Tribolium castaneum: one gene and its partners. The protein of the gene in region 1 purifies or fractionates together with the protein of each later gene. This does not show direct contact. Links are inferred from orthologs where the notes say so. Each region holds a gene or a part of one and is shown on either strand. Other genes may lie near its edges.

What was found.
Region 2: the proteins of Sec6 (region 1) and Sec10 purify together in Homo sapiens (affinity purification with mass spectrometry; 7 studies listed by BioGRID and IntAct, counting the BioPlex papers as one, with this or other methods). This does not show direct contact. The link is inferred for Tribolium castaneum from reciprocal best matches to the Homo sapiens genes EXOC3 and EXOC5.
Region 3: the proteins of Sec6 (region 1) and Exo84 purify together in Homo sapiens (affinity purification with mass spectrometry; 5 studies listed by BioGRID and IntAct, counting the BioPlex papers as one, with this or other methods). This does not show direct contact. The link is inferred for Tribolium castaneum from reciprocal best matches to the Homo sapiens genes EXOC3 and EXOC8.
Region 4: the proteins of Sec6 (region 1) and Exo70 purify together in Homo sapiens (affinity purification with mass spectrometry; 5 studies listed by BioGRID and IntAct, counting the BioPlex papers as one, with this or other methods). This does not show direct contact. The link is inferred for Tribolium castaneum from reciprocal best matches to the Homo sapiens genes EXOC3 and EXOC7.

What each region holds. Positions count from the first base shown.
Region 1 is NC_087399.1:3,908,218-3,915,646, reverse strand, and holds Sec6 (exocyst complex component 3), read left to right. Parts: upstream 1-2,600; 5' UTR 2,601-2,675; coding exon 2,676-4,904; 3' UTR 4,905-4,941; downstream 4,942-7,429. Other genes in the region: HEX5 (hexamerin 5 precursor), read left to right, coding at 6,902-6,989, 7,035-7,429. UniProt on the Homo sapiens protein: Component of the exocyst complex involved in the docking of exocytic vesicles with fusion sites on the plasma membrane.
Region 2 is NC_087396.1:19,819,852-19,827,083, reverse strand, and holds Sec10 (exocyst complex component 5), read right to left. Parts: upstream 4,052-7,232; 5' UTR 3,853-4,051; coding exon 3,820-3,852; intron 3,770-3,819; coding exon 3,645-3,769; intron 3,597-3,644; coding exon 3,479-3,596; intron 3,435-3,478; coding exon 3,237-3,434; intron 3,192-3,236; coding exon 3,127-3,191; intron 3,078-3,126; coding exon 2,894-3,077; intron 2,846-2,893; coding exon 2,628-2,845; intron 2,583-2,627; coding exon 2,472-2,582; intron 2,421-2,471; coding exon 2,325-2,420; intron 2,279-2,324; coding exon 2,119-2,278; intron 2,070-2,118; coding exon 1,834-2,069; intron 1,788-1,833; coding exon 1,701-1,787; intron 1,656-1,700; coding exon 1,550-1,655; intron 1,506-1,549; coding exon 1,349-1,505; intron 1,301-1,348; coding exon 1,056-1,300; 3' UTR 1,007-1,055; downstream 1-1,006. Other genes in the region: Art1 (protein arginine N-methyltransferase 1), read left to right, coding at 1-187; transmembrane protein 50A, read left to right, coding at 4,235-4,339, 4,389-4,656, 4,706-4,812; G patch domain-containing protein 11, read right to left, coding at 4,972-5,235, 5,282-5,741, 5,793-5,842; uncharacterized protein LOC660185, read left to right, coding at 6,702-6,759, 6,819-7,232. UniProt on the Homo sapiens protein: Component of the exocyst complex involved in the docking of exocytic vesicles with fusion sites on the plasma membrane.
Region 3 is NC_087398.1:809,592-816,784, reverse strand, and holds Exo84 (exocyst complex component 8), read left to right. Parts: upstream 1-2,730; 5' UTR 2,731-2,827; coding exon 2,828-2,891; intron 2,892-2,942; coding exon 2,943-3,098; intron 3,099-3,146; coding exon 3,147-3,346; intron 3,347-3,399; coding exon 3,400-3,696; intron 3,697-3,743; coding exon 3,744-3,870; intron 3,871-3,916; coding exon 3,917-4,435; intron 4,436-4,509; coding exon 4,510-4,640; intron 4,641-4,689; coding exon 4,690-5,100; intron 5,101-5,149; coding exon 5,150-5,347; 3' UTR 5,348-5,391; downstream 5,392-7,193. Other genes in the region: Taf6 (transcription initiation factor TFIID subunit 6), read right to left, coding at 1-176, 220-462; Wdfy2 (WD repeat and FYVE domain-containing protein 2), read right to left, coding at 964-1,099, 1,146-1,477, 1,650-1,896, 1,947-2,294, 2,343-2,500; sperm-associated antigen 7, read right to left, coding at 5,392-5,495, 5,619-5,778, 5,823-5,994, 6,046-6,202, 6,247-6,325. UniProt on the Homo sapiens protein: Component of the exocyst complex involved in the docking of exocytic vesicles with fusion sites on the plasma membrane.
Region 4 is NC_087399.1:7,104,166-7,111,534, forward strand, and holds the start of Exo70 (exocyst complex component 7), read left to right. Parts: upstream 1-3,483; 5' UTR 3,484-3,642; intron 3,643-4,596; exon of another isoform or gene 4,597-5,284; coding exon of another isoform or gene 5,285-5,586; intron 5,587-7,369. Other genes in the region: 26S proteasome non-ATPase regulatory subunit 2, read right to left, coding at 263-594, 643-2,011, 2,161-2,296, 2,340-3,013, 3,064-3,120, 3,172-3,216; stet (uncharacterized protein LOC657740), read right to left, coding at 5,285-5,586. UniProt on the Homo sapiens protein: Component of the exocyst complex involved in the docking of exocytic vesicles with fusion sites on the plasma membrane.

The DNA of each region.
Region 1 (7,429 bases):
ATGGTTTTTTGTTTGTTGCTTTAAGTCTTACAGTTTCTGAGAAAAACGCAAAAAAAGGTTTCCATTTTCACTTTTTTTCAATTTTCAACCGCCAATTATGGCGAAACTATTAGAGTTATCGAGAAACGGAAAAATGGAAGACAACTGGAATAAAAAACTCTAGAAAATGACATCGAACTCAAGGCGATATCTCGTAAAAAAAATTTCAATTTTCAAACGCCGATTACGGCCAAACTAAAAGAGCTAGAGAAAAACGGTTTGTTCCATCGTAAAGAGCACATCAAAATCTATAAGATAGAATAGGTTTCATTTGATTTTGAGACACTTTAAAAATTGACCGATTTTAAGGGGGGGTGTTAACTTTTTTTTTATTTTTTTTAATTTCTCATTTACGGCTAAACTATTCCAAAAAATGGAACTGTTTTAATCCATACCCCTGCAAAATGATCCGGGGAATCGATTGGCATCAAAAAAATTGCCAAATTCCCAATAGTTTTTTAGTTATAAATTTTTTAAAATTTTACCAATTTTTGCATTTATCAGCAATTTCCTCGAAAACTATTAGTCGGAGAACAATAATCTTTTTTGAAAAAAATAGATAATTTAAAGAGCTTTCCAACGATAATACACTTCATGGGGTTATCTCTAATAGTTCCGGAGCTATTGCTCGAGAAATGTTCCGGGTACCCAAAACCGACAAAAACTGCGACGAAAATTGAAAAAATCAAACATCAAAAAATTGAACATATGGACTTTTTGTGGACTTTTAACAGCTTTTGTGGGTTGTTAAGACATGTAGAAGTCCATAAAAATTTTCAGGAGTTAGTTAAAAAAAAATTTTGTTTCACCTCTTTGAAGGTGAGTCTTGTATTACTCAGGAAATTTGAGCAAAAAAATTGAAAATTTTAAATTGCGTGAAAAACTGATATAATATGTAAAATGAGCCGCTGAATCCAATGGACCAAACCGCACTGCTCTACGACTTTTAGTTTTCGAGTTATGAATTTTTTTATTGAAAAAAATTTTTCACTATGACAAATGGCTACCCTAAATTTAGGCAAAAAATTTTAAATTTTTAATTCTTGTGAAAAATTGATATAATATGTAAAATGAGCCGTAGAATTCAATGGAATAAACCGCACTGCTCTACGACTTTTAGTTTTTTTTTTTATGAATTTTTTTAATGAAAAAAATTTTTCAATATGACAAATGGATACCCTAAATTTAGGCAAAAAATTTTAAATTTTTTATTCTTGTGAAAAATTGATATAATATGTAAAATGAGCCGTAGAATTCAATGGAACCAACCGCAATGCTCTACGACTTTTAGTTTTTTTTTTATGAATTTTTTTAGTGAAAAACTTTGATCGCTTCTGTAGCCGGAACCGTTGCCCGGAGCGGCTCCGGGTTTGGTCGAAAAAATAGACAAAATTAAGCGCTATCAGATGGTTTTTTGTTTGTTGCTCTAAGTCTTACAGTTTCTGAGAAAAACGCAAAAAAAGGTTTCCATTTTCACTTTTTTTCAATTTTCAACCGCCAATTGTGACGAAACTATTAGAGTTATCGAGAAACGGAAAAATGGAGGACAACCGGAATAAAAAACTCTAGAAAATGGCATCGGACTCAAGGCGATATCTCGCAAAAAAATTTTCAATTTTCAAACGCCGATTACGGCCAAACTAAAAGAGCTAGAGAAAAACGGTTTGTTCCATCGTAAAGAGCACATCAAAATCTATAAGATAGAATAGGTTTCATTTGATTTTGAGACACTTTAAAAATTGACCGATTTTAAGGGGGGGGTGTTAACTTTTTTTTAATTTTTTTAATTTTTTTATTTACGGCTAAACTATTGTAAAAAGTGGAACTGTTTTGATCCATACCTATGCAAAATGATCCGGGGAATCGATTGGCATCGAGAAAATTGCCAAATTCCCAATAGTGGTTTAGTTATGAATTTTTTAAAATTTTACCAATTTTTGCATTTATCAGCAATTTCCTCGAAAACTATTAGTCGGAGAACAATAATCTTTTTTGAAAAAAATAAATAATATAAAGAGCTTTCCAACGATAATACACTTCATGGGGTTATCTCTAATAGTTCCGGAGCTATTGCTCGAGAAATGTTCCGGGTACCCAAAACCGACAAAAACTGCGACGAAAATTGAAAAACTCAAACATCAAAAAATTGAACATATGGACTTTTTGTGGACTTTTAACAACTTTTGTGGGTTGTTAAGACATGTAGAAGTCCATAAAAATCTCATGAAAAGTTGGTATAATATAGAAAATGAGCAGCTGAATCCAATGGAACAAACCGCTACGGCTAACCGTTCGAAAGATATCGTCAAAAATATAGTCTCGTTACAAAAATGTCTCAACTAAACTTATGTTATTATCTTTATTTTTTTCACCCCCTTTATATTCCGCAATTTTCTTTATTTCTGTAGGATCATAACGAACGATAATTTTCCTGGTGTGAACTTGGCTGTAGAAAACGAAAATGGTAGAAGGGGAAATGGTACTAGCTCCATGCGCGCAGCAGTTGTCTGGTCGACTGTAAGTTTTGGTGCGATCCTAACCGACATTGACGAGAACGCTGTCAATTGAGTGTAAAGTCAACTGTCTCACCCAAACGTCAAACTGACAGTTTAGGTTAGGTCAAAACACCCCCAAAAATGACCACAACAAAGTCAAATATGCGCGAATTGGAGGCGGCGGCCAAAGACTCGGCCCGGGCGCACGTGGTGAACATGTTCCAACGTCCAGGCCAGTTGGAAAAAGTCGACCACTTGAAGCGCCGCCTCACCCGCAAGAAAAACTCCGTGGAGGCGCTCCTCAAGTCCGCGATGCAGCAACAACTCGACGGAGTCCGCGTCGGACTCAACCAACTGCACTGTTGTCTCGAAGACGTCCGCGAGATCGACTCAAGCATCAAAAAAATGTTCACTCTCTTCAACGAAGTCCCCGACTTGTGCGCCAAGCTGAGCCAAGTCCGGGACGAAAACATGCGGCATTCGCAGTACGTGACCGCGCGCGAGAACTTGAAGCACATCTTCACGGTCCCCGAAAGTGTGGAGAAGACCAAACAGTGGATTAACGAAGGGAAATTGCTCCACACCCATCAGTGTCTGAGGGATTTGGAAATGTCCCGCGATGATTTACTGTACGAGTTGCATAAGTTGCCAAACCAGTCACCGCATGATAAATCCATGCTTAAAGCGTACTTTGCCGACGTTGAGACTTTGTCCAATTTATTGGAGAAACAGTTGAGGCTGATTTTGTCGCGTACGCTCAACACGGTGCGGAAGGAACCTACTGTGATTGTCACAGCTCTCCGGATAATTGAACGGGAGGAGAAAACCGACCAAGAGGCACTTAAACAGGAAAAACAGACCGGGTTCTTGCCCCCAGGGCGGCCCAAAAAATGGAAACAAATGGCGTTCGAAGTGTTGGAAAAGTCAGTCGCTACTAGAATTGAAGGCACGCAAGTCGACGAACGCGATGACAACAAACACTGGCTCATTCGTTACTTGGAATTGACGCGGCAGCTCATTTTGGAGGACTTGCGAGTTGTTAAAACACTGTGTGTCCCGTGTTTCCCGCCCAGGTACGGGATCATCGACAAGTACATACAGATGTACCACCACTGCCTGTCCCGCCACTTACAAGAAGTGATTCAGAACGGAATCGAAGGCAACGAATACGTGACCATCCTCTCATGGGTCAGTAAAACCTACCAAGGGGTTGAGCTACTGGGCCACCCGGACTTGGTCGAATACACCAAACACCTGGAGCCTTTGCTCCCCCAGCCCGTGATGGAGACCCTCGAGGCCGAGTATTTGCGCAACATTGAGACAAACTACGGGGAATGGATGCGAAACACCCTAAACTCAGAGGAGAAAGAGTGGCGCTCGAACATCGAACCCAACTCGGAGAACTACACCCGCACGGCAGCCCCCATTATCATCTTCCAAATGATCGACCAGAACTTACAAGTCTGCAAGACGATAAGCGACGAAATGACGTGCAAAGTCCTCATCTTGAGCATAGAGCAAGTCATCAATTTCGGGGACATGTACCGGAGAGCAATCGTCGAGTTCAAAAACAAATACTTCGAGGACCGCAAGCAAGTCCCGTACTTCACCCAGTACATGATCATGATCGTCAACAACTGCCTCCAACTGGCCGATTTGGGGTCACAGTTGGAGAAGCAGTACTGGGCCCCCACGTCGCCGCCAACTCTCGGCGATCATTTCAACCGCTTGCGGACGACTTTCATCCAGTTGCGCAACGACTCCGGCGATTTCTTACTCGAGGAGTTGTTCCTGGACTTGGACAAACACTTTGACGAATTGTTCACCCCGCGCTGGCTGGGGACTTCGCACCCCGTCGACACGATTTGTGCGACTCTCGACGACTACTTCCAAGACTACAATCGCCTCAGCGAACCCAACTACAAGTTTATTGTGCACCAGGCCCGCGCTTTGGTCTCCAAACGCTACTTAACCGCGCTATTGTCCAAAAAAGGCACTTTTAAGACGTATGAAGAGAGCGTGCAAGCCAGCGGAAAGATCGTCAAGGAGGCCAATCAGTTGGGAAAGTTACTAGACACACTGTGCAGTTTAGAAGGCGATGACCCGTTTGAGAGCGTTATTTTGTTAACGGAAGTATTGAAGAGCGACGATGATATGCTATCCTTTGAGCTACATCGGATTGTTGAAAAGTATCCCGATATCACCGAAGATCATTTATTGCGACTGTTGAGTCTGAGGGGTGACCTTGCCAGGTCGGACATCCGCGATAAAGTCGCGCATTTGCCCAAAGTTAAGGCCACGCACCAGAGCAGCGTGTTCCGGACGCTGGTGTTCCCCAAACTTGTTAATCTCAACGTATTCAACAATTAAATCTATAAGATAGAATAGGTTTCATTTGATTTTGAGACACTTTAAAAATTGACTGATTTTAAGGGGGGGTTAACTTTTTTTTTTCTCATTTACGGCTAAACTATTCCAAAAAGTGGAACTGTTTTGATCCATACCAATGCAAAACGATCCGGGGAATCGATTGGCATCGAGAGAATTGCCAAATTCCCAATAGTTTTTTAGTTATGAATTTTTTAAAATTTTACTAATTTTTGCATTTATCAGCAATTTGCTCGAAAACTATTAGTCGGAGAACAATAATCTTTTTTGAAAAAAATAGATAATTCAAAGAGCTTTCCAACGATAATACACTTCATGGGGTTATCTCTGATAGTTCCGGAGCTATTGCTCGACAAATGTTCCGGGTACCCAAAATCGACAAAAACTGCGACGAAAATTGAAAAAATCAAACATCAAAAAATTGAACATATGGACTTTTGTGGACTTTTAACAACTTTAGTGGGTTGTTAAGACATATAGAAGTCCGTAAAAATTTGCTGGAGTGCGTTTAAAAAAAAATTTTTTTTTCATCTCTTTGAAGGTACTAAGTGTATTTATTACTCAGAAATTTGAGCAAAAAAATTGAAAATTTTAAATCTCATGAAAAGTTGGTATAATAGAGAAAATGAGCCGTAGAATTCAATGGAACAAACCGCAATGCTCTACGACTTTTAGTTTTTATTTTATGAATTTTTTTAATTGCAAAACTTTGATCGCCTCTGTAGCCGGAACCATTGCCCGGAGCGGCTCCGGGTTTGGTTGAAAAAATAGATAAAATTAAGCGCTATCAGATGGTTTTTTGTTCGTTGCTCTAAGTCTTACAGTTTCCGAGAAAAACGCAAAAAAAGGTTTCCATTTTCACTTTTTTTCAATTTTCAACCGCCAATTGTGGCGAAACTATTAGAGTTATCGAGAAACGAAAAAATGGAGGACAACCGGAATAAAAAACTCTACAAAATGACATAGGACTCAAGGCGATATCTCACAAAAAAAATTTCAATTTTCAAACGCCGATTACGGCCAAACTAAAAGAGCTAGAAAAAAACGGTTTGTTCCATTGTAAAGAGCACATCAAAATCTATAAGATAGAATAGGTTTCATTTGATTTTGAGACACTTTAAAAATTGACCGATTTTAAGGGGGGGGGGTGTTAACTTTTTTTTTATTTTCTCATTTACGGCTAAACTATTTCAAAAAATGGAACTGTTTTGATCCATACCCATGCAAAATGATCCGGGGAATCGATTGGCATCGAAAAAATTGCCAAATTCCCAATAGTTTTTTAGTTATGAATTTTTTAAAATTTTACCAATTTTTGTATTTATCAGCAATTTCCTCGAAAACTATTAGTCGGAGAACAATAATCTTTTTTGAAAAAAATAGATAATTTAAAGAGCTTTCCAACGATAATACACTTCATAGGGTTATCTCTAATAGTTCCGGAGCTATTGCTCGAGAAATGTTCCGGGTACCCAAAACCGACAAAAACTGCGACGAAAATTGAAAAAATCAAACATCAAAAAATCGAACATTTGGACTTTTTGTGGACTTTTAACAACTTTAGTGGGTTATTAAGACATACAGAAGTCCGTAAAAATTTGCTGGAGTGCGTTTAAAAAAAATTTTTTTTTCATCTCTTTGAAGGTAAGTGTTTTTATTACTCAGAAATTTGAGCAAAAAAATTGAAGATTTAAAAAAAAATTTTAACCTTCTCCTATCAATTCTCTAGTCAAAAAAACTTACATAACAGAACGTTGCTCGAATTTAGAAAAACGAAAACACACTATTAGGAGATAATTCCGTATAATAATAGCTCCCTATCACGCCATTTCCTCTATTGTACTCACTCTTTTTTCTAAAACTACAGTCAATAAACCCACCAAACTTAGAATAATGTTAGTAAACATGATAATGCAAAGGTTAAATGCAAGTTCATTGATTGATATAAAACGCCGAGTCTGAATCAGTCTTCATCCGCGATGAAGATTGTAGTCATCTTCCTGTGCCTTTGCGGCAGCATTTCATCCTTGCAAGAATACGGAGTCGGTCAGCGCAAATTCAAAGTTTGTAAGTTGCCATTTCAATCTGCCAGAGAAATCAAGTTATTTTCAGCCGACAAGCTCTTCCTCGAACGCCAGCGCGACCTTTTGGACCTTTACCGCAATGTAAACCAGCTCGACTTCGACGAAAATCGGCAAAAAATCGCCAAAAGCTACGCAATCGAAGCAAATGTGGACGCGTACGTCAACTCCACTGCTGTTAAGCAGTTCGTGTCGTACTACAAGTTGGGGTTGCTCCCGCGGGGCGAGATTTTCTCGATTTTTTACTACGAGCACCGCCTGCAGGCTATAAGTCTCTTCAAGTTGTTCTACTACGCTAGGGATTTCGACACGTTGTATAAAACCGCAGTCTGGGCGAGGAATAACGTAAACGAGGGGCTGTTCTTGTATGCTTTTTCCACCGCCTTGGTCCACCGTGATGATACTTTTACGTTCGTTCTGCCACCG
Region 2 (7,232 bases), on another chromosome or scaffold:
GCACTGGAAGCAGACGGTGTTCTACTTCGAGGACTACATGACGGTCAAGAAGGGAGAGGAAATCAACGGAACATTCACCATGAAGCCTAACCCGAGGAACAACAGGGATCTGGACTTTGTTATCGAACTTAACTTCAAAGGAGAATTAGGCGAAGTCCACGAAAATAACAGATACCGCATGCGCTAATTTATTTTCTTTTTTACTACAAGTGCTTACTTTAACTTCCCGAAATCTCATGACTTCAAACAGGCCCCGATTTTGACGCTAGTCTTAGGTTTACTTTTTTATGTCGCCACGATTTTTCTTAACAAATTTGCTTTTCCCTTTATTTGGTTGCTGGCAGCAGCGTCATAATTAAGAATCTCCTAAACATTATCATAAGTTTCAATTGTGAGTGTCCAATTTTTGAAGTCTTAATGGAAATGTACATATTTCATTGAGTCTTGGTAGTTAAAAATGTGGAACGACTTGTAGGATTAAACACAGAATAATGTCTGTAAAAACGACCCTCAGTGATTAGTTTGAATACCCCTATTATGAATTAAGTAATTGCAATTTCAACTGTAAACGGTAATAATAAAAACAAATCATTTAATTTCACGGATTTTCATTCATACTTCCCTAAAAGCAAAGTCATGCCTTTGCGTTACGGAGAACTAATTACGGCTTAGATCTCAAATGAAAGTCGTTACATAACTAGTTTTATCTTTTGGTGGTTCAGTAGAGCCGTTCAAGTTGCTATGCTGTCTCTGACTTAGAAAAAATATAGAAAATTCTCTACATTTTTTTGCAGCTTTCGCAGAGTAGGGAATATTTTGAAACACTTACCTTGATGTTTTATACTTATTTGTTTAAAATTTTAGTGACATAAATCTTTTTTTTTTAATTGAAAAATTTGCGAAATGGAAGTTTGAAACGAAATTCGTTCAAAGAAAATAATAATTAAAAATGCTAAAGAATTCTAAGCGTGCGCTTAAAACGTAGGTCCAAACATGATACAGAAAATAGTAAATATATGCCTTTATTATTTAATCATTTAACAAATAATTCCTTATTACACTTTGAGAAAATTTTGTTTTTGTGTCTTGAAATCGCTCCGAAGCTGGATAAAGTTGTGCAAAACCGAGCGGTCGAGATTCACCAGAGAATCCTCTGAACACACTTGTTGCAAATTTTCTGGCTTCACTAATAATAAATTGCACAGCGCATGCAAAGTTTCGAACAACTCGGCCACAAGCGGACCTAAATGTTTAGTACATGATCGGTACTCATTTAAATCACAAATTGCGACCATTGCACCTTAAAAATCGTAATTAGCCAACACAAAACCATTTTTAATTGATTTACCCGCGGTGTTGAACTGAAACTGCAATAAATGATCGTAAATAACGCGATGTAATCGAATTCCCAGCTCTTGCAAAATGGCAGTAACGTTGTTACCGTCCAAATTGTCTTTGATCTCCTTAATTACATTACTTATGTATTGGGAAACTGCTTTGCACGCCTACAAATCGGAATTATTTTATGCAGAACGTGGAAGTGATTTACCGGAGAAGCGACCGTATCGAAGTCGTCAGTTTCTGGTTTAAAATCGGTTTTTTTCTGCTCTGATTGCAGGTAGACTTTTACCCAACTTCCCACAGCATTCAAAGTTCTAGAAAAATAATTAAAAAAGTAAATCATTACTTTTGGGTGTCACCTGTCCAGTCCGGTGTTAACTTTCCGTTCAATATCCTCCAAAATAAACTTTTTCTTTTGCATGCAATCGCTGTATTTTGGCGTATTTCTAAAAACAAATCTGAGATACGTTATACAATTTTGTAAGAAATTACATAATGAGAGGCACCGCTAAATCAGTGATTTGTTTCTCAAGCAAGTGCGTTATATTGTTGCTCTGGTGCACCACTGTGAAGAAATACAAAGTTGGAGGATTCTTGGACCCTTCTACCACAGGAATCGCCTGAAGCCCCAACTCCAGCGCATAATCTACGTGTTCAATTAGCAAAGAATTGAGCAAACGGTCTAAAATTTGACTGGCATTGGACGCCTTGTCTTCAGGCTTTGAAAGCTAAAAAATAAAACAGATTGTTTTTCATTCAGTTACACAAATTATGTACCAGCTGACAACGCTGGAACGCTTGTTTCGTGTCTTGCAAAATTGTAATTGCTAATTCCTCAGACAGGAATGTTTCGCCACCATAATTTTCAATCTGGGCTATGTTAATGTTGGCCCTTGTCCCAATTACGGCCTGGATGTCGCGTCTCAAGTCTTGGAACCTGTACAAATTTAGACAAAGGGAAAAACACGAAATAATAAAAATACCCGCCAGATTGGATCTGTTTCTTTTGGTGGTTTTTTGATTCGTAGTAACGTTGCAAATTGGCAGAACTGCGTTCTTTGAGACACTTTAGTTCTAATCTGCATTATGATTAATTAAAACAATTGGAACAAACCAGTACGGAAACTCACGCTATGTAATTATCGATGTATTTATTGAAAATGTTACTTGTTAGCTTATTTAAATAGTTTTTGTCGCTCCCCATGTTAAAAACGGATAAATCTTGCGATAACTGATTGGTTCTAAAATAAAAAGTGAGTCTGGTGGATCATTCAGAGTGTAATTACCTGTCATATAACTCGTACAAAGTTTTTAAATAATTGTAACTATCTAATTTCGAGGATAGTTTTGACGCGATGTACTCTTGCAGTTTCAAATGATACAAATTTAGGACAAATTTTGCCAATACTTGTTCCGGGTTATTAAATACTTTCTTAATAACATCGTAGTTTAGTTCACATAAGGGAAACAAACGCGAAAATACATCTTTACTCAACAAGCAACCCTAAAAAAATTGTTTCCACAAGAGGAATGATAATATGATAATATTTACAGCTTGACTCCGTTCAATGTAAGCATCAACGCACTGGGGGTAGCCTTTAAATTGTGATAAAACATTAGCGATTTCTTTCATTCTTTTGAAATCGTCCCTCCTTTGCGCATTTGAGAATTCTTCAATTAAAGTCCGCTCTGTCTCATCGTACTTTCTTTCAATTTTGCGCTTTAAGCCCTCAAATCTAAAACATGATATTGTTTGTTGTTACAATTATTGATCTAAATTTTTACTTTGGTGAGGGCAGGTCTTGTGAAATTAAATACAACTTTTGTATCACTTCTGCCGCTTCATCAATCTGCAAGAAATGTTGAACAAATGTTGATTTAAAAATTAAAAATACTTTTGACGAGTCGGTGAAGATTTCTGAAGTGAGAGGGCCAGTTTGTAAGAATTCATTCAAATGTGTCATTAGATTTTTTGCATCAACAACTCTTGCCCTAGGTCCGTTAACACTATCTAACTGGTCACCCAAGTGTAGGACTTTTGTCGCCACATGGTTAATTTTTCCGTCTAGCTCTTGAAACGTATCAATGGCTTGCTAAAATTGAGGATTGTATTTTGCAAACACAATTTAAAACCTACTTTATTTTGCCCCAATAAATCGTGGATTTTTTGAAAAAACAATGCTTCGTCTTCGCGTACGGCGGCTTCGAGCCTTTCACATTTCTTTTTTTGCCTTTCTTGGAGCAAAGTTAAGTCTCTACAAAAACGAACCCAGTTATGGGACTTACACAAGCCTAATTCTTACTTAATAGCTTGAACAAACGAGTCATGCAGCAATGTTGGATTAAAGTCCTCATCACCGTCATTTTTTGTTTCAGCTATTGTGCGCCAAGCTAATCTTTCAACAAATTCTTCAGCATCAAACGGTTCCTAAAGATTAGGGGGCGTTTATGCAAAGACTTACAAGTGGAGTTAAATACCTGCTCCAGTTCTTTCATATATTGTTGCATCATTTTGACGCGAAATTTTTTCCTTTAAACTGGAGGAGATATAAACATGAATTTATTTATTTTTGGCTTGACTTGACACCTGTCAGTTTGACGTCCAACCAATCTTAGGTTACAACAAAGTAGACCTTTGTTATTGGTGTTAAAACTACAATTTATGACAATTTCTGGTATATTTTGGGTGCGCGTTATCACACACGATTTTTTTTCTGGGTGGTTTCGACTTATTAATTAAAAATAATTAAAAAATAACTTTTAATCAGCTGACGTCCAGTGTCACCAAGCCCTCGAAACGTCAAACGCACAATAAAATCCCCAAGTCATTAGTTCATAATCACCAAAAAAATATCGTTTTTGTTTACATTTAAGGCCATTAAATCGGGAAAAAATGGGTATAGCTGACTGTTTTGAAAATATAAATATTCCGCCGTGTATTTGGTTCGAAGGGGGTGATAGGCGAAATGCGTACGCTTCAATGATCTCGGGGTTTTTGGTGAGCTTTTTTGTGCTCTACAACTGGACATGATTCATCCAAATTTTAGTTTTTCGTAGGCTGGTGGATAATAATCGATGCCGCAAGTGTATACCCAGGGACTGTCCTAGCAGGATACCACATGTGTGGGGTCGTGGGGGCCGTGTCTTTGATAATGATCAATTCCGTTTCAAACGCCCAAATGAGGGGCGACGCTTATGAGGGGGGCTGTTTGGGCCCCCGAGGCGCCAAAGTGTGGCTTTTTGTCGGTTTTGTAATGGGTTTTGCATCTGTGATTGCCTCTTGTGGAATATTATTTGCTGATTTCGTCAACAAGAGTAAGAGTTTTTGTAAAAAATTGCAAACTTTAATTGAGTTTTTTTACAGAGGTGCCTCACTATTGGCCGGGAGTCGCTATATTTTTGCAGAACGTGTTTATTTTTATCGCGTCACTCATATTCAAGTTTGGTAGATCTGAAGACATTTGGACATAGAAAGTAATTCACACTCATACTTTTATGTTGCAAATTTTACCCTTCATGAGCATAACAATTAATTTTTTATTAAGTGTAAAGTGTAAAAACTAGGTTGTAATATTGTGTAATTTATTATTTGCTAAATAAATAAAACATAAATTAAAAATCACAATTTATTTAATCGTCATCGTGATCGCTTCTGTTAGGACCTGGACAACTTGTACTTAAGTCATTTTCGTCAGTTGCGACAAATGCACAAAACATGCAATATAAATGCGTGTTTCTTAGATAATGAATTAGTTCGCTTAAATTTTCATCAGTAAAGTAGGAATCAAATTCTTCATTAAACTGTTCCTCTTCTTCCTCATCGTCTTGAACACCTCTCTTCTTCTTAATTGTTTCCCTCGTCCAATAAAACTCCTGAATTGGCTCATCAGTGTTCTAAAACAAGTAAATAACACACTTGACTCGTTAGCAACGTGTTCACCTTTCTTAAATCCAAATCTTCACAAGCTCTCTGCGCTTTAACAAAATCCTTACAGAGCAACTTCTGGGCTTGTTTATTTTTAATACTTGTATGAAACGCGTCCATTTTCTTTGCAAGAGTCTCCTCTTTGTGAACCTTCTTCCTGGTAACTTTTTCCTTAAAATGGCTTTCTAACCCAACCCCTGACTTGCCACTCCTTAGTTCTATTTTAATGGGCTCTGTTATGCCAGACTGCGATTTTCCCAAACCTTGTCCTTGCTTGAAACCCATTTTCTCCAACAATTTAAAGCCCTTGTTGTCATTTGAAATAGCAGTGTTCAAGCCCTCTTGTCTTCGCTCCTCTTCTCTTTCTTTACTGTTTTTGGGCTTCTTGGCCGAAAGCTCCTGCCTTTTTTTCTCTAGTTCATACTTTCGTTTCGTTGTGCGGTTGAAAACTAGTCCAGGACGGACGTCTTCATCACTAAATTTGAAAGAAAATTAAGCAAACATTACTTAATGCTTGCAAGGTTACCATTTCATTAAAAGCTTATCAGACATGTAATCATCTTCCGAATCCGACATTTTTCTATTTTTCTTTGTTATTACGTTTTTTTCATGATTATTGTGTTTATTTTCCTAAATTATAACCTTCTGCTCTTCTAGGTTAAAGTTACTGCCAACATTTATGTAGAAAAGTGAAAAACTCTCATATGTCTCAGATTGGCGAGCCTGTGATTTCAAAAACTTGTGGGAAAACATTTCATTTCAATAATTTTTGATATCTTATTTAAAATAAATCAAAAAATTAATACAAGTACACTATTTCGTTATCACATGAATTGGGTAATATTTTGGAATTATTAACGATGACCCCAATTAATCCCAGAAACTCATAAAGATTACCATTAAACAAAACTTTACGATTAAGTAACTATCCTGCCAATTATTTTCGTTTTGATTTACTTTATACAAAATTAGTTCTTTTTAAAGTGTTTTTTATAAAAAACCACATCTAGAATATAATTAATTTCATATAAATAACTGCAACAACAATCATAAGTAATCTCATTGTTTGTGATGTTGTTTTCTATAAATAACATTATGTTTGTGTAAATTTTTATACCTATCAATCCGTTTTAAAACTCAAAGTACACCAACAAGTATGGAAATTGTTTTTGTAAGAAAAAAAGTGATAAAACGAAGAACCTGATAGTGGGTATATTTGATATTCGGAATTTTGTCTCCGGAATTCATTTTAATGTGTGTTTTCTGTTAGAGACGTTGTAAGTGCTGACAAAGGTAAACTTGTTTTAAAATTTCGCAAATTTAATAATTCGTCAATTAATGTCGTGATCGCTGCTATTTTATTTTAATTAAAATACCCATTAAAATTTTTACGATTTTTTTATTAATCAGTTTTTTCAGTATTTGTTAAACCAAAATGCAAGGACCACCGTTTTTGCTTTTACTCTTGTTCCTCGCAGTTTCTCCTCTTCGTGGTAAGACTTTCTATTTTGAAAAATTACAATTTTAAACAATAAATTATTATCCACTAAAGCGGAAATTGAGGAGCGCTTCAAAGAAGATTTTTACAAAATCTACAAACACACCGCAATTGAAGCCAAGGAGATCACCAACGAGCATATAACCCCCGATAAGATTACGTATTTTTTGTTCACGAAAAACAATCTTGAAGATTACGTTGAGTTGGACCCATCAAAGCCCGAACAACTGGCCAAGAAAAATGTCCCCATTGTGTTCATAATCCACGGATGGCTCGAAAAACGCGAGAAAGACTGGTACGAGGACCTGAAAAATGCATTTTTGGCCAGGAATAAGGAATACCATGTCGTGCAAGTCGACTGGTCAGACCCTGCCCTCCAGTTATACACAGTTTCGTCCTGGAACACAAAAGACGTGGGAAAATTCATCGGCGAATTCATAGTCAAGTTGCACAAAGACCATGCTGTTC
Region 3 (7,193 bases), on another chromosome or scaffold:
CCATCGATGCACAACCAATGGGACCTCAAAGACACCTCAAGTGGTGCTTTGGCGTTCAAATTTTGCAACAAATCGTTCAAAACCACCTCCTTCTCCTCAATAAAATGAAGCTCACGTCCGCCGCCTGATGCAAAACGGAACGGGAGGCCTTCGGCCGATTGGAAACCGTACTGGGGCTGTAAGACACAATGAGGTTAAATAACCAAAAAGCCCACATACCTCCAAGTTTTTGGCTTTGAGGGCTGCGTCAATGTCGCTCTGCATCAGTTTTGTTCGTTTGGCATGGTGGACGAACTTCGCAGCGTCTTGAATGATGTGTTTCAGTTTAAATGAGATGTCTTCAGCTAGTTCCTTTGCAGCGTCGTCGGGCAAATTTCCAATTCCGATGCTTTCGGCTATTACCTTCATAGATTCGACGGATAAATTCGTTCCGTATAAGTCATTTTCAGCGTTTTTGGACATTTTTCAAGGCAAAAAGGGGGCCAAAAATTGGCATATGCGCTTGTTTTGTTTACCAGTGGTGCCAACTCGAGTGGCACGCACGACGAAAACACCAACACATGCCGCATAACAACAACATTAAAGAACCAAAGTATTAAAGGATCATGAAGAAGAGTGCACTTAATTGATTTAATCGTGTGGGGGAGAAAAAATCACAACGAACAATTGTTTGTTCGAAAAAAACTGACAACAATCGGACCGAAAGCAGGTTCCTGTAAATTTGACGTCACCACAGATTACCATCCGTTCATGGAATCATGTCACTTGTTCGCACACTTGGGTTCAAAAATAGCACAAATGAGGCGCAATTCTGTGATTATAATAGATTTATTTTCAATAGAACTTATAGAATATAAATATAACATTAATAATATTTAAATTTTACATAATGTAATAAATCATAGCACATTAATTAATTGAGTGTGAATCACATTCCAGCGTTAGTAACTAAACCAGTCGGATTCAAAGCAAAGCGGAAATGTCCCAAATTTTGATTAGCCGGTCCTGTCCGACTGTTACCAATTTTTTGCGAGTCTCGTCCAATCCCATCGCTGTAATACTATGCTTAGCATCATGGAATGTGGCTAAAGACACCCTCCTGTAAAAAACTTTAGCAAGACATAACTTCACCACTTGCAACTCACTCTCTATCCCTTAACAAGTGGTGACAAGGGTCACAGACACGCACTGCGAACTCGAAACCCATCGCTGGAATTGTTAATCTACCTGTGGAACATTTCTCGCAAACTGCTTTCCCGCAATGTCTGCAGTGGTGTTGCCGTAAACCCAACTGTCGCTGGTCCATCATGGCTCGGAAGTTCCAAAAGAACGGTCTTCCACACAACTGACATAAATCGGACTCGATCCACTCGGGAGTCTCCTGACGCGTTTGGTTCATGTCCCAGAAGACCAGCACCCCGTCCTCGCCCGCGCTGACCAATTGTTTGGTCGAGTTAAGGTAGCACAAAGCAGAGACCTGTAATATCACATTCACTTGTTTCCACAATTTTGGTAATTTTTGGCACTGTTGCCAATTTAATTTCAAATGCCGATCGCCAACAAAAAACAAACCTTGACCTACGTAACCAATAAACAATTATCTTTGCTTCGGAAAAAATCCAACTGCGGTTGTAATAAACAATGTTTACCTTGTTGTGGTGACCTTGCAGCTCGTAGGCGTTGCCCTGTTGCCCCCCTATGTCCCAAACGATAACAGTTTGGTCGTAGGAGCCACTAAATAACATCTGCCGCTCGCTGTCCCAAGCCAGTGACCTAACAGAGCCCGAGTGCCCCTTCAAAGTTGTGATAACACTAGGGCCCGCATTATCCAATTTTAACATAGTTATTTGACCAGAATAATCCCCAACAAACGCATGTTTGGTTTGTGCATCAAATCTGCAAAAATTAAAGACATGACTCGAAAATTTTCCGCAAAAAATTAGTACTGTAGAGAGGTGCACCAGGCCTCAGCCGTGTAAGTCCCAATGTTGCGGCCGGTTTGTGTGCAATTGTACGAAAACACTTTATCCCTGCTCACGCTCAGAACCCATTCGCAGTTGATGGCAAAAATAATTTCGGTGACTCTTGCCTGATGTGCTAGGTACTCCCGCACTGGCATCATTCGGTTGAAGTCTGATGCCAGCGAGAATTCTGACACGGTCCCGTTTTCCTGTCCTATGAAAAGTTGCCGGGTTTCAACTGTGTAAAAGACCGAAGTGGCCCCACTGGGCATGTACTGGCAAATGCTGGGCCAGTACTGGCCTGAGTCTCGCTTCAACCAAACACGTACCGTTCTAAATCACAAAAATGAGGCGTAAAGACCGGGTTTGGGAGCGACTTACTTGTCATCTGACACACTTATAACCCCATCTTCGCCCGGGATCAAAACGGCGGCGTTTATTTCGTCGCTACAACCTTCCAGTTTTGCCAAAAGGGCGGGCTTTTTCGTTGTGCAGAATTTGTCGTTTGCTTGGGTTGCTGGCTTGATTTCCGCTGCCATTATTAATTAATTTGATTGTAATTATAACACTGTTTTTAGGTTTGACACTTTTGATTTGACAGTTTTACGACGCAGTTGCCGATAACAAGCGTCCCTAACCAACGATAATGTGCAAAGAACCGCAAATGACAATCACACAAACAAGTTACAAACGATAACCCACACGTACATGTCGACCACTTGCGTGGCTCACTCTAATGTTCGCTCACAACGCCAGATCTATTGACAAATTACTTGTCAAACCATTGAGGTTATAGGAAATGGCACCGCCTCCCTTTTTGTGTTAGAAAAAACTTTATTATCAAATAAATAATTATTTTTTACACCATGGAGCCCACAAAAGAACCGACTTTAAGTTTATTTAGCTCGAAGGAGTTTGATGCGGGAAAATGTAACATAATTAATAAGACGTAATCACTTGGTGATAATTAGGTTCTTTTAGATGTTAGGGAATTGTCTCAAAGTTGTGTGGGGGGCCCCGAATTGCGACGCCTCCGTAAAAGAATTCAGTCACTGTCTGAGGACACCAACAACAATTTGAAGCAAAATGTGTACCGCAATTACACCCAGTTTATTGACACTGCTAAAGAAATATCTCGTATTTTTTTAATTTTTACTTAGTTATAAGTCTGACTGTTTTTTGTAGACTTGGAGAGTGAAATGTATCAATTGTCACACCTTTTATCTGAACAAAAATCCTTATTAGGTGCCTTATCAACAACTTCGATTTTGGGCGAAGAAACTCCAGTTATCACAGAAATGGAAAATAGGGACAATCCCAAAGACCAAGGTGACGAAAACCGACAGAAATTAGCCTCAATTTTAGAAAAAGTTGAGGGTTGTAAGGTAAAGTGCCATTTTTTGGCGAATTTTTGTTACTATTGGTATGACTGGTTTAGGAATTGTTGGAAGTCCCTGGAAGGACTTATTTACACGAAGGGGATCTTTTAGAAGTTGACCCTCTCGATAATCACATCATCAAAACGGTCCATGCTTATTTATTTACAGACGGCTTTATGACTACTTGCAGAAATAATAATAGCCGGGGTTTAATGAAATATGTTTTTGAGGTAATGTACGAGTTAGGTAGTCTCGCGGTAGTAAATGTGCGGGAAATTGGTAACAACAAACACCAATTCAAACTATTGATTTTTCCCGACACTCGTGTTTTCCAATGCACTTCTGGCTCAAATAAGGTATTGCGAAAATTTAGTTTGCACAAGTTTACAAAAAAAAATCGTAGAAAGAGTGGTTGGATAAGTTCGACCAGGCCAAAAAAGCCCGTCTCACCCAAGACCAACAAAAACGCGAATCAATCGTGGAAAAATCGCCGTCTCGGTCCGCCTCAATCGATTCCCCTAGCCTCAACCGTAAGTCGGCACCACTGTCACTTTTCCCCTATTTACCCCACTATAGCTTTTGAGGAAATTGAGGACGAGGTCGGGACAGTACACCCGGACTGGTTTCTGGAAATCCCCGAAGAGTTAGACGTTTGCGTTGCCCAAAGACACTTTGAGGACGCTCTAACTTTCCTCCAAAAATCGAAAGACTACATCACGCAATTTGTTGCCACTAGTGGCCAACCGGACCACGTGATCCTCGACATCCAATTAAAAGTCGAGCAAAGGCGTAACCACTTAACCGAAGTTCTGATGAAAGAACTGGAAGTTAATCCAGACAAGTCACAACAAGGGGGCTTGCGGGCCGCCCGCCGGGCCGTGAGACTCCTCAACCAGTTGGGGCGCTCCACAGCCGCGTGTAATTTATTCCTGAAGTTGTGCAGCAACATGCTCAAAACGCAGTGTAAACGAGTGAAGCGTGAATGCTCCACGGTCATGTACGTGAGGCATTTGTCGAGTGTCGTTTTTACGAATATGTGTCACATGACTGAGGAGTTCCTCAGGGCTTTTCCCAGCTCGTCCAGCTGTTCGTCAGGTTTGTACAAAAATATTAAAACGGTGTTTTTGATAATATTTAGCGGAATTAATTAATAAAAAAATTTTTCAAAGCATACGTGGTGTGGGCCAGTAACGAGCTGTCCGTATTCACGACTCATTTCATAAAACAGGTGTTTATGCCGCAAACTTCGCTCTCTACTTTAACAGAATGTGTGGTTTTGGCCCGCTCACAGTGCGAACGAGTAATTTACCATTTCTCTCTTTGTAAAAAAATGAAATTGGTGGTTGTAGTTGTGTTCTTTTGGCGTTGATTTGTGTTACCAGCTAGATGGCGCTTTGCGCACTTCCCTAATGCAGGCCTTGAAGGACGCCCGTGACAAGTCGATAGAAGTCGCAAAACTTCGGGCTCTTGAAGATAAATGGATTCCTATGAATCTTCGAACAAAGACAGCTTTGGCCCGATTTTTGCAGGAATATTCCGATTTGGGGCTCAAAGTGGACAGTTACGTCACTGGCGATACGTGGATCCAACTTACAAACAATACGCTTGTTTTTACCAAACTGTTTTTAATTCTTTTGAATGATTGTTTACGACTTGAAACAACCGAACTGCTTTATACGATAAACGACGTTCTTTATGACGTTTTTGAGGCGCAAGTGCGACACATTGAAGCCTCCTTGCGTAATGAAAATCAATTAGAGGTAGCGTAAAAAACCGGTGCAATATCTTTATCAGAATTAATGTTTGTAGCAAAGGAAATTCATTACGAAAAATGCCGAATTTCTCCTGACTACTGTTCAAGACTTAAGCCAGAAAAAATACAAAGAAGCGATCGGTTTCGAATGCGCTTCACTACAAAAACTTCAAAAGGAATACTCAGCACTGACTAAAGGAGTCTCACCAACGAGTAGGAACACAAAAACAAAGTATTCATCAGAGTTTTTATAATGTGGTAAATGTTACAATAAATATTGCCTAATAAATACAATTAACTATTCAGATGGTGTTTCATGGCTGGTTTTAAGGCGCTTTTTGGCCCTGATGTCGGCCATTGTTTGCTCAATTGACCTGACGTCCTTTTTATTTTCGCTAGGCACTAAACAAGCAAAAATTAATCACTTGATTAGAATAAACTTTCTGATAAATGAATTAGTGAATTATTGGTTGAATTTAAATCGATTTAAGTACTATATTTTTTTGGGTTGATATTTTAACTTACCAAAGCCATAGCTCTTATTAGTCTCGGTTTTCTTGGCCGCCTCTAGGGCGGCTTCCTGTCCAATCAAATGCGCGTATTTGTCCCTATAATTAGAGTGTGGTGTGAACTTTTCCGGCTTTCTTTTAGTAGCTGCAACTTCTTCAATCTTCTCCATTTTTCTCTAAAACCCAAATTAGGAACAACCTAATTACGGTTCAAACGTACTTTTTCGATCAACTGCTGCCTGATTTGTTCATTCCAGGGGTCCCCTCGCCTCCTTGCCGCCAACTCGTCCTCACAAGGAGCATTTTCTTTCCTGTACACCCTGACATACCTATCCACCCCATCATTACCAAAAGCGTACGACAATAACCCCGCACTTTCGGCAGCTTCGTGGCTAAAAAACTGTGTAAATTCTCATAATACGAAAAAATAACCACACAAATACACAATGCTCCGATAAATTTGGTCCATTGGCTCAAATTTCAGCATCGTATTGTTGGGGTCTTTAAAGTGCGACGCTAATTTCGACTCGACTCGCTCTTTAAACCGTTTTAGACGCTCCTTTTCCGCTGTTTGTCGTTTTTCGATTTCCTCTTTTCTCTCTGAAATTTGGGGTGATGAAGGTTATTGAGGTTAAATCACTTACTTTTAACCAATTGGCGTTCTTTTTCGCTCAAACTTGGAGGTTTCTCCATAGAGTTCATAATGGAACCCAATAGATCCATCGTGGGTGTTTAAAGCCCTTGGTTTTTCGAAATTAGGGCTTGGCCAAAAATAGGAAATCACAATAATATAACCAAACTTTTTCGAACTGTCAATTAACTTTCACGAGTTGGGCCAATGAGAATTTGTGGCGGGAGTTGCCAGTGGTGATGCTACTCATGATTGGTTGTTTTCAGATTTGAAACATGGGACGGGAGGTGGTAAATTTAAACTCAATAGTTTTAAAAATGTTTTATTCAGTAGCAAGTCACAACATAAAAAGATACACTTATACTAGAAATTAAATAACTTAAATTAGTTTCCACGACGTGGCACAAAGCTCATTGCCAATCACAACCTGGCGTGTGGAGCTCGCTGATTAGCTATCACATTACCAAACTTTACATTTCTTTTTCGGGTTCATTTTCGAGCCTAGTGGACAACTAAAATCTTTGGCAAAATAGTCTAAATTACTGAAAGGACCAATGACCCGGAAGTAGCCGGGCGAGTGATATCCGGTCAAAACTCGCAATTTTAATGATTCTGGCCGGTATTTCGCACACCATGTGTTTGCGGCTGATATCCAGAACATCTGATTTGGGGTGTATTTGAGTCCAGGGAGGGTTTTCTCAATGCCGTGCCGTTGTGTCCATTTATTGTAGGCCAAATAGGCCTCTTTGATACCACCATTATCGGCGATATTTTCTCCTTGAGTGTTAATTCCGTTGAGCTGGAAGTGGACACGACGGCGTTATTCAAGGCCTATAAGCTACCAAACCACTACTAAACCCGCCTCTATGTACACAAAAAAATGTTACACAAGACCCCCATGTAGGTAAAAAATTTATTAATAAACAATCACAAAAGCTACACCTATCTATTTACAACTAG
Region 4 (7,369 bases), about 3.2 Mb from region 1:
AGAACGTGTGATTATATGGAATTTAATTGAATTAAGCCCACTTTTTGTATATTTCAATGACCAGATTAGTTTCTGTTTCACTTCCATTAAAAATTAACACTTCTGGCATCAAAATCGGTTGAAATATCCAAATTCACAACGTTTACACGACAAGTTAAAAAGTGTCATACGTTTACATGGCAGGTTCGGACCGATCTATAGACAAGTCCAATTGCAAAGCAAACTTTATTAAGCACAAATACAATAAAATAAAACACATAGATTAGTCAAGCTTTTTTAAAACGCAAATGCCGTCAAGGGCGGGCGCTGTTGATTCGTACTCCCCATTTGCAAACTCCGCCCTTTCGTTAGCGCACAACAAAACTGGTGTCGTATGCGTGTGAATCCCCGCAATGGTTTTAGGATCACCTGCCTTTCCTACCGTATCCACAGCCTGACCCACACGAACTGTCACTGAGACAGAATTCAAATTATCGTCAAGTGTGAGCAGCCATCTTGGTTGCATGGCCGCCGCTAAGCTATAGAGTAGGTAATGACATCGGCCCAAAATCAACGAATGCGGCTTAAGTAGGCACACTAACGGGATCAAAATCCCTAAAATAAGTAATCAAAACAAAGTTGGTTACTACTGTAAAAGCTCACCCGCCATTGCAACCGGGTCTAGCAACTGACGATCGGTGTGTAAGGGGTTCAAAGTCATGGTACCTTTACCCATATGGACAAGACCCTGCGCAATTCTTACCATAAACAATTGGAACGGGTTCTTGGTATGGTATAAAGCTAGTTGGCGTAGAGTGACCGCAAGGCGGGCATTGTTAGTGCCCGCCCCCACATAACCCAGCCCAAAAATGGCGTTGCAAGCAACGTCGTCGTCAATATCGTGTGAATATTTCGTCAAAACGTTGATTATAGTGGGCTGGGGATCGCTAACCGAAGTCAAGGCGATAGCCAATGGGACGGCTTTGCGGACCGAAGGTTCGCCATAACGTGATATTTGACCGAAAATTCTTTGAATCATTTCGGTCCCGAGCTCCTCACCCTTGGAAATGGCGGCCACGGCCAAAACAGCTATCGCTTTCCCCATATGATAATCCCATTCGTTCTTTTTCTTATCTTTCGAACCTTTCGTTTCGGTCGTTTCGGGAACTTCGACCTTTTCCTCGACCAATCGCAACAATTCCTGGATTATTAACACATCCCCACTTCCGGCGTAAGCGCACATTTGTAGCATGGTCTGGAAGATGGTCCGAAACGGCTCCTCAAACACATCCGCCACAATCGTCGGAACCTCAATCGCATCCTTGGTTCCGAAATATGCAAGTGCCACGCCCAAACCAGCCAATAACATGAAGGGACTTTTCAGAACGTCCAATCCGTTCGATTCAATCATTTTCGTCAAGATGATGTCCGATAATTCGTTATTATTTCTCCCGAGACTGATCAAACCGCATGCAAGACTCGCCACGCCCAAAGTTTTGACCAATTTCGAGCTCTGTATCACCGGTAGGAGGAGATTCAATACGTCGCTCCGCCCACTCCCGGCGTACGCCAATCCGATGCCTAGCACCGCCCCAACTTGCAACTCCTCACTGCCACTCCCCACGTAATCGCCCAGTAGGGCAAGGGCCGGGTCGCAGTCGTTTCGAATGCGACAATTGACAATACCAAGGGCTAGTAACGCGCCAGCTTTGATATTATCATCACTGGTGTAGAGATATTTATCAATTGGGGTCAAACCGCCATCTACGTCCCATAAGTATAGTAAACCCAGAGCTGCAGTGGCACTTAACATGCCAACATCTTTGTTTCGATAAATCCATTTATTGCCATCGTCGGTTGTCAAAAGTTTATCAGTGCCAAAACCAGCATTGACGAAACCGTTGACGAAGGACGAGGCCAGATTTTGACGGGCACTGTCCAGTTTCTCGCCGAGGACGCTCTGACGCAGCGTTACGGGCTCAAGCCAGGTTTTGTACACCTCTTCGGGCGATTTCGGCTCCATTATATCAAGCTAAAGCGAGAAAAATTTGAATTTGGCGCCGAAACACAAGGCGGGAAATTTGAATTTCTTCCGGAAATTTCGCATTTTGACCCCAAAATACAACATCACAAGACGGAAAATGGCAAATTTAAGCCAAATGAATAAAAATTGTCACTAACCTCACGTGCAAAACTTAAAAAATAGTGGCTCAAGTGACTATTCTCGAGAATGCTCCTCACGTCGTCATCGTCGAGATTAAATTCGATTGGGTAGAGGTGTCGGGCGCATATGAAGGCCATTTGATACAGTGTGATCCTAAAAATGAGTGAAAAATTGTTTGAAACGCCGACTAGATTACTTGTCAGTGCACGTATTGAAGAGTTTCTCGATCAAAGCCGAGTCTTTGATTTGAATCGCGACGACCAAACAGCGACAATGCTCCTGAAAAAGATAATAGAACTGCGAAATAAGCTTCAGTATTTTTTTGCTCTCGAGATCGTCCACATATTTTGCACAGGAGGCTAGGTACAAGCAAATGGGCTTGTAGTTTTCCCTCGTGACGTAATCGAAGAGCATGTACATCTGGTTGATTTCCATTAAAAGGTCGCAGCCTTGTATCTCGTCGTGGTGGCTGCAGTTAAACCTCATGATCTGCTTGACAAGGGGGCTCAGAGTCTTGTAGTTGTTCTCGCACATGACCCACTGTTTGACGATTTCGATCTCCAGCTGGCGGATGTATTCATGCCCCCAATCGCCGATGTTCTCCATCGTGCCTTGGAGACAGTACTTGAGACAGTCGAAGTCGCGTTTCACGCTCCCGTCGATAGCCCCCATGGACAGGACGGAGACGACATCGGAGAGATTTTTTTTCAGGAGGGGGTCCTTCATCGAGTCGCATTTGTTGCGCAGGGCCCCGTAAAAAGGGGCCAGGTATTTGAGGGGCTTTGGGACGGACGTCATGGACGAGGTTGAGGTCCGTATTAAGTACTTTAACATGTCGAGGGACACATTCACTAGCTTCGATTCGTCACCCTGTATATATTTACGTGGTTTTTTATTATTTTGATGATGGAAAAACTCACCGTAATTCGGTCCACGAGACCCTTTAGCTCCACTTGTAATTCCTTATCATCGTCCGACTAAAATTTGGGCCCCGTTTAAAGTATTAAATAAATAGGGGATTTTCTTACGTCATCTTTGGGAATCACCGGTTTTCGGATTGCTGCAGCTGCCATTTCGGCGAATTTTTGCAAAAATGGGCAAAAGGAGCGACCGTTTCAAATGACATGCAAAAATTTCAATTTGACGTTTTGGCGTTTCCGTTTCCGCCTAAAAGCTCAATAAAAATTGAAAATTAAATTATGGATAAGTTTGATATGCCTTGTGACGGTCCTAAAGGTCATTCGGATTGTTTTTCTTAATTTATGCCGTAAGGTTTAATTTTTTTGCAGATATTTTTTAATTCGTAAGCTTGCGCCATCTTCTGGCCTAATAGGTTAGTGTTTGGTAACGTACCCTAACCTTATTTAGTTTTTGCCGCTTGTTTCATAAGTGCGTCTTAAGCCCCTTTTGGGTAAATAGCCCCAATTTAGTGTTTGTTGGTGTCCAGAAATTGAAGAAATTGCTCAAATTACCGATGTTTTTACGATTAATGGACGGCGGTAAGTCCGAATGTCGCTTTAGAACTTTTTAAAATCCAGATTTTTTATGTGGGTAAAGTCCCCATTTTGATGTGTTTATGAGTTTGTTTAATTTTATTTGTAAACAATTAGCTCGGGGCCGTCTAGTATAGCAATTACCACGGCCACTTTGCTCCTACAATTACATGATTACGTCATAAAAATTGAATTTTAACTAAAAGAAGACAGCTTTTATTAACAAACCAATGAATTAAATCACTATTATAACTAATTTTCACTTTTTTATGCTTCTACTATGTTTACGTGCCTCCCTGAGAAATCCCCACTTGTGTTGTCCGTCTACAGGGTGTCCGTTTTTCGAGCTCCACTATGGGGATCTCAGTTGTGATAAGAGTTACGAGATCGGTTAAATTAGGGCAAAGTTGCACGTTGTTATGCTGAACAAGTATCTGAAAGAAAATTTGGTGTGCCATTTTTGGTTTTTGAATTATTGGGAAAAATAAAAAATTACTAATTTTCGTTTTTATTTTTTTAAGAAAAAAAACTAAAAGAACTAGATGTTTTTAAGTAGGAAATCCTTTAGGCACTTTTTACAAGAAACCTAAATCTGTCATCGTCTTTTCCAAGGCGTTCTTGATGTCAGAGTTACAACACTCAACTTTTAACTCTGACATCAAGAACGCTTTGGAAAATACGATGACCTTGTAAAAAAGTTCCCGAAGAAGGTCCTACTTAAAAACGTCTAGTACTTTTGGTTTTTGCTTGAAAAAATAGAAACGGAAATGACAAATTTCCGTTTTCTTCCAATAGCTCAAAAACTAAAAATGACAACATTTTCTTGCACATAATTGTTCAGCATAAAAATGCGCAACTTAGCCCTAATTTCACCAAACTTGTATCTCTTACAATAACTGAGATCCCCATGGTGGACATCCTGTATATAAAAACTTCGGAAGGGTTCAGTAAAAGTCGTCGCACAATTGAATAATTTATTACTATTTTTGGAAGTTGGGCGTTTTGTAAAACAGTGTGATAATAATAACAAAACAAAAATGGAATAAAGGTATTATAAAAGAAATACCCATCAGTTCTATTTTTTTTTTTTTTCGTTACAAATACATATATCAGTGAACAGTGGTCTACCTGAGTGTAAAAAAATACAATTTCTTTGTGATATACATTGAAAAATCGTCTACCTATAAGGCTTCGAATACATTATTGTGTAAATAGAATTAACTAGCACTTTCTTTGGTAGGCTTATACTTAAATAATTTTATGACTAGTTTGATAATATCACTCAGAAAAAAATGAACTGAAAGTGAAATAAAGCAGAAATTATTGTCAAGTGAATAATGGAATTGTCGGTTTGCGCTCACTCCTGCTTTGAATCGTTTTAGGAACTTGATAAATGCTGTTTGACAATAATTTCCTCACAACGAAACCTTAATAAATCATTCGAATTTACTCATTTCAGTCTTTGGTCTAGAATATTAAATAAATATAAATATGTACAAAAAAAATTATATACAGAGCGGCCTCTCCGAGATTTATTTTTGGATTAGTATTGTAAAACGGGTCTGGAATGGCTATGTGGGCAATAATATCGTTTCAGTGCTTTTGATAAATAAATCTCCGAGAGTTCCCGTAACCTATACAAAGGGGGCTATACCCCGAACCTATTATACACATACTGACTGTTGACCCCGTCCCCCAAATTCTCCACCGCCTCCACCGTGGGGTTCATGACGTTGAAAAGAATTGCGAAAATCGTGCAGGCGGCGTACACCCCCAGCGCCACCCACCACAGCAGCTGCTCGTGCAACTTCTGCTCGAAATTCTTCAAGACAAGCAGGCCGATGGTGAGCCCCGCCAGGGCCCCCGTCAGGTGCGCCACGTACGACACCGGCGGCCCCATCGCTTCGGCGGCATACCGCGAATAGATGGCGTACCCCACGTCGCAGGAGGCTGAAATAACAATTGTCAGTTGAATTTTGGTGTTGTGATAGTAGTGTCTAAAATAAAGAAGTTACAATTTGGATCAGGATCTCCTGTAATTTATTGTAGCAACGTTTTCTTTGTACACAATAAAGTTTTACAACACATTAGGCGTACAACTGGTTATTTATCAAACAAAACTTGTGCATAAAGTGATACTGAGGAGTTCCTGCATTTTTCGAAAAACTTCGAAAGTGCAACTACATGGATTGGAAGTACCTATCCAGTAGAAATTCATTTAATTAATTGTGAACTGATGGATTTTGTGGATGGAACAAAGAAGGATGAAAAGCTGGAGAAGAAGGCTTTGGCAGCAATTGTGTTTCTTGTCAAGTCACATATATTTACGGAAGTTAGAGAATAGAAAACTGAAAAAGAAGTTTAGGATAGACTGAAGAAAATTTATGAATATCAAGGTTTCCCAAGAGTGGCAACTTTAACAGAAAAATTAGTTTTGATTCGTGACGCTGATAGTAAGGGAATGAATGATTATTTAAATCAGGAAATGAAAATTGCCCAACACTTGAAGGCAATAGACAGTGAAATAAAGGATAGTGTTTTAGTTGCTCTTAATCTACCAGAACTTTTTAAGCCATTAATTATGACACTAGAGAACTACAATACAGAATTAGCTACAGATTTAGTGAAAGGGAGATTACTACTATAAGCTGCTAAATGTAAAAAATGAAGGAAGAGAATCAGCTTAAGTAATGAAGTGGCATTATCAAAAATTCAAGGATTTTATTGATAAAAATGGTATTTCATCACACAAAACAGGATTTAAAGAAACATGTTTTAATAGCAAGAAGAAAGATCATAAAATCTAAAAATTGCTATTCTTTAAGGAGGAATTTCAAAGAAACATCAAAATTTAAAATCCAAGACATTGGAGTGACTTCAGTTTTATTGTATGTTAAAGGTAAGAGGATTGAAACGCCAAGTTGATTATGCTCCGGGTTTGAAATTTAATTTAATTTCATGAAAATAACTAGGGAAAATTGAAGACAATTGTTGAAAATCAAAGATGTGAGATTCGAGAAAAGAAGACAGGAAGACTAATAGCAGTTGCAACAACAAGAGATGGAGAGTTATATAAATTGGCTTATGTAAAAAAAATATACTTCACTCAAAAAAACTTAAAATAAAAGTAATTTTGAAATTAAAGCAGTCAAGTTTTGAAGAGGCTCGTAAAAATGGTTCATGATATGAAATTTGAAGATATTAAGGGGAATGCAACATAAGAATAAGTTTCATAAGAAATCAGTGCACAGGGCTAAAGAAAAGTTAGAACGATGGGTTAGAATAGTGATATTTGCGGTCCAGTGAAAATAAATTCAATTGGCAGAAAGCGTTATTTTTTAACTTTTACTGACGACCTTACAAAAAAAAACATCTGTGTATTTTTTAAAGAATAAATCTAAAGTTTTTGAAAAAATCGAGAATTGCAAGAAAATGGTTGAAGTTGAAACAGATCGTAAAATAAAATTTCTAGCACATGTGTAAGTTCTTCAATGAAGGAATTTTTGAAAAAAATCGGAATTCGTCTTCAAACAACACTTGATTATACACCTCCAAAGAATGCAACTTTGGTTGAAAAATTAAGTTAAGGTTTTTAGACAGAAGCTATACAGCTTGTTATTTGAAAAATAGAAGTCCTACTCTAACAGTAAATAATACGACTGCAGAAGAAGTTTGGACAAGACAAAATCAGATTTAAGTGAATTAAGAATTTTTGCATGTAAAGCATTCAACC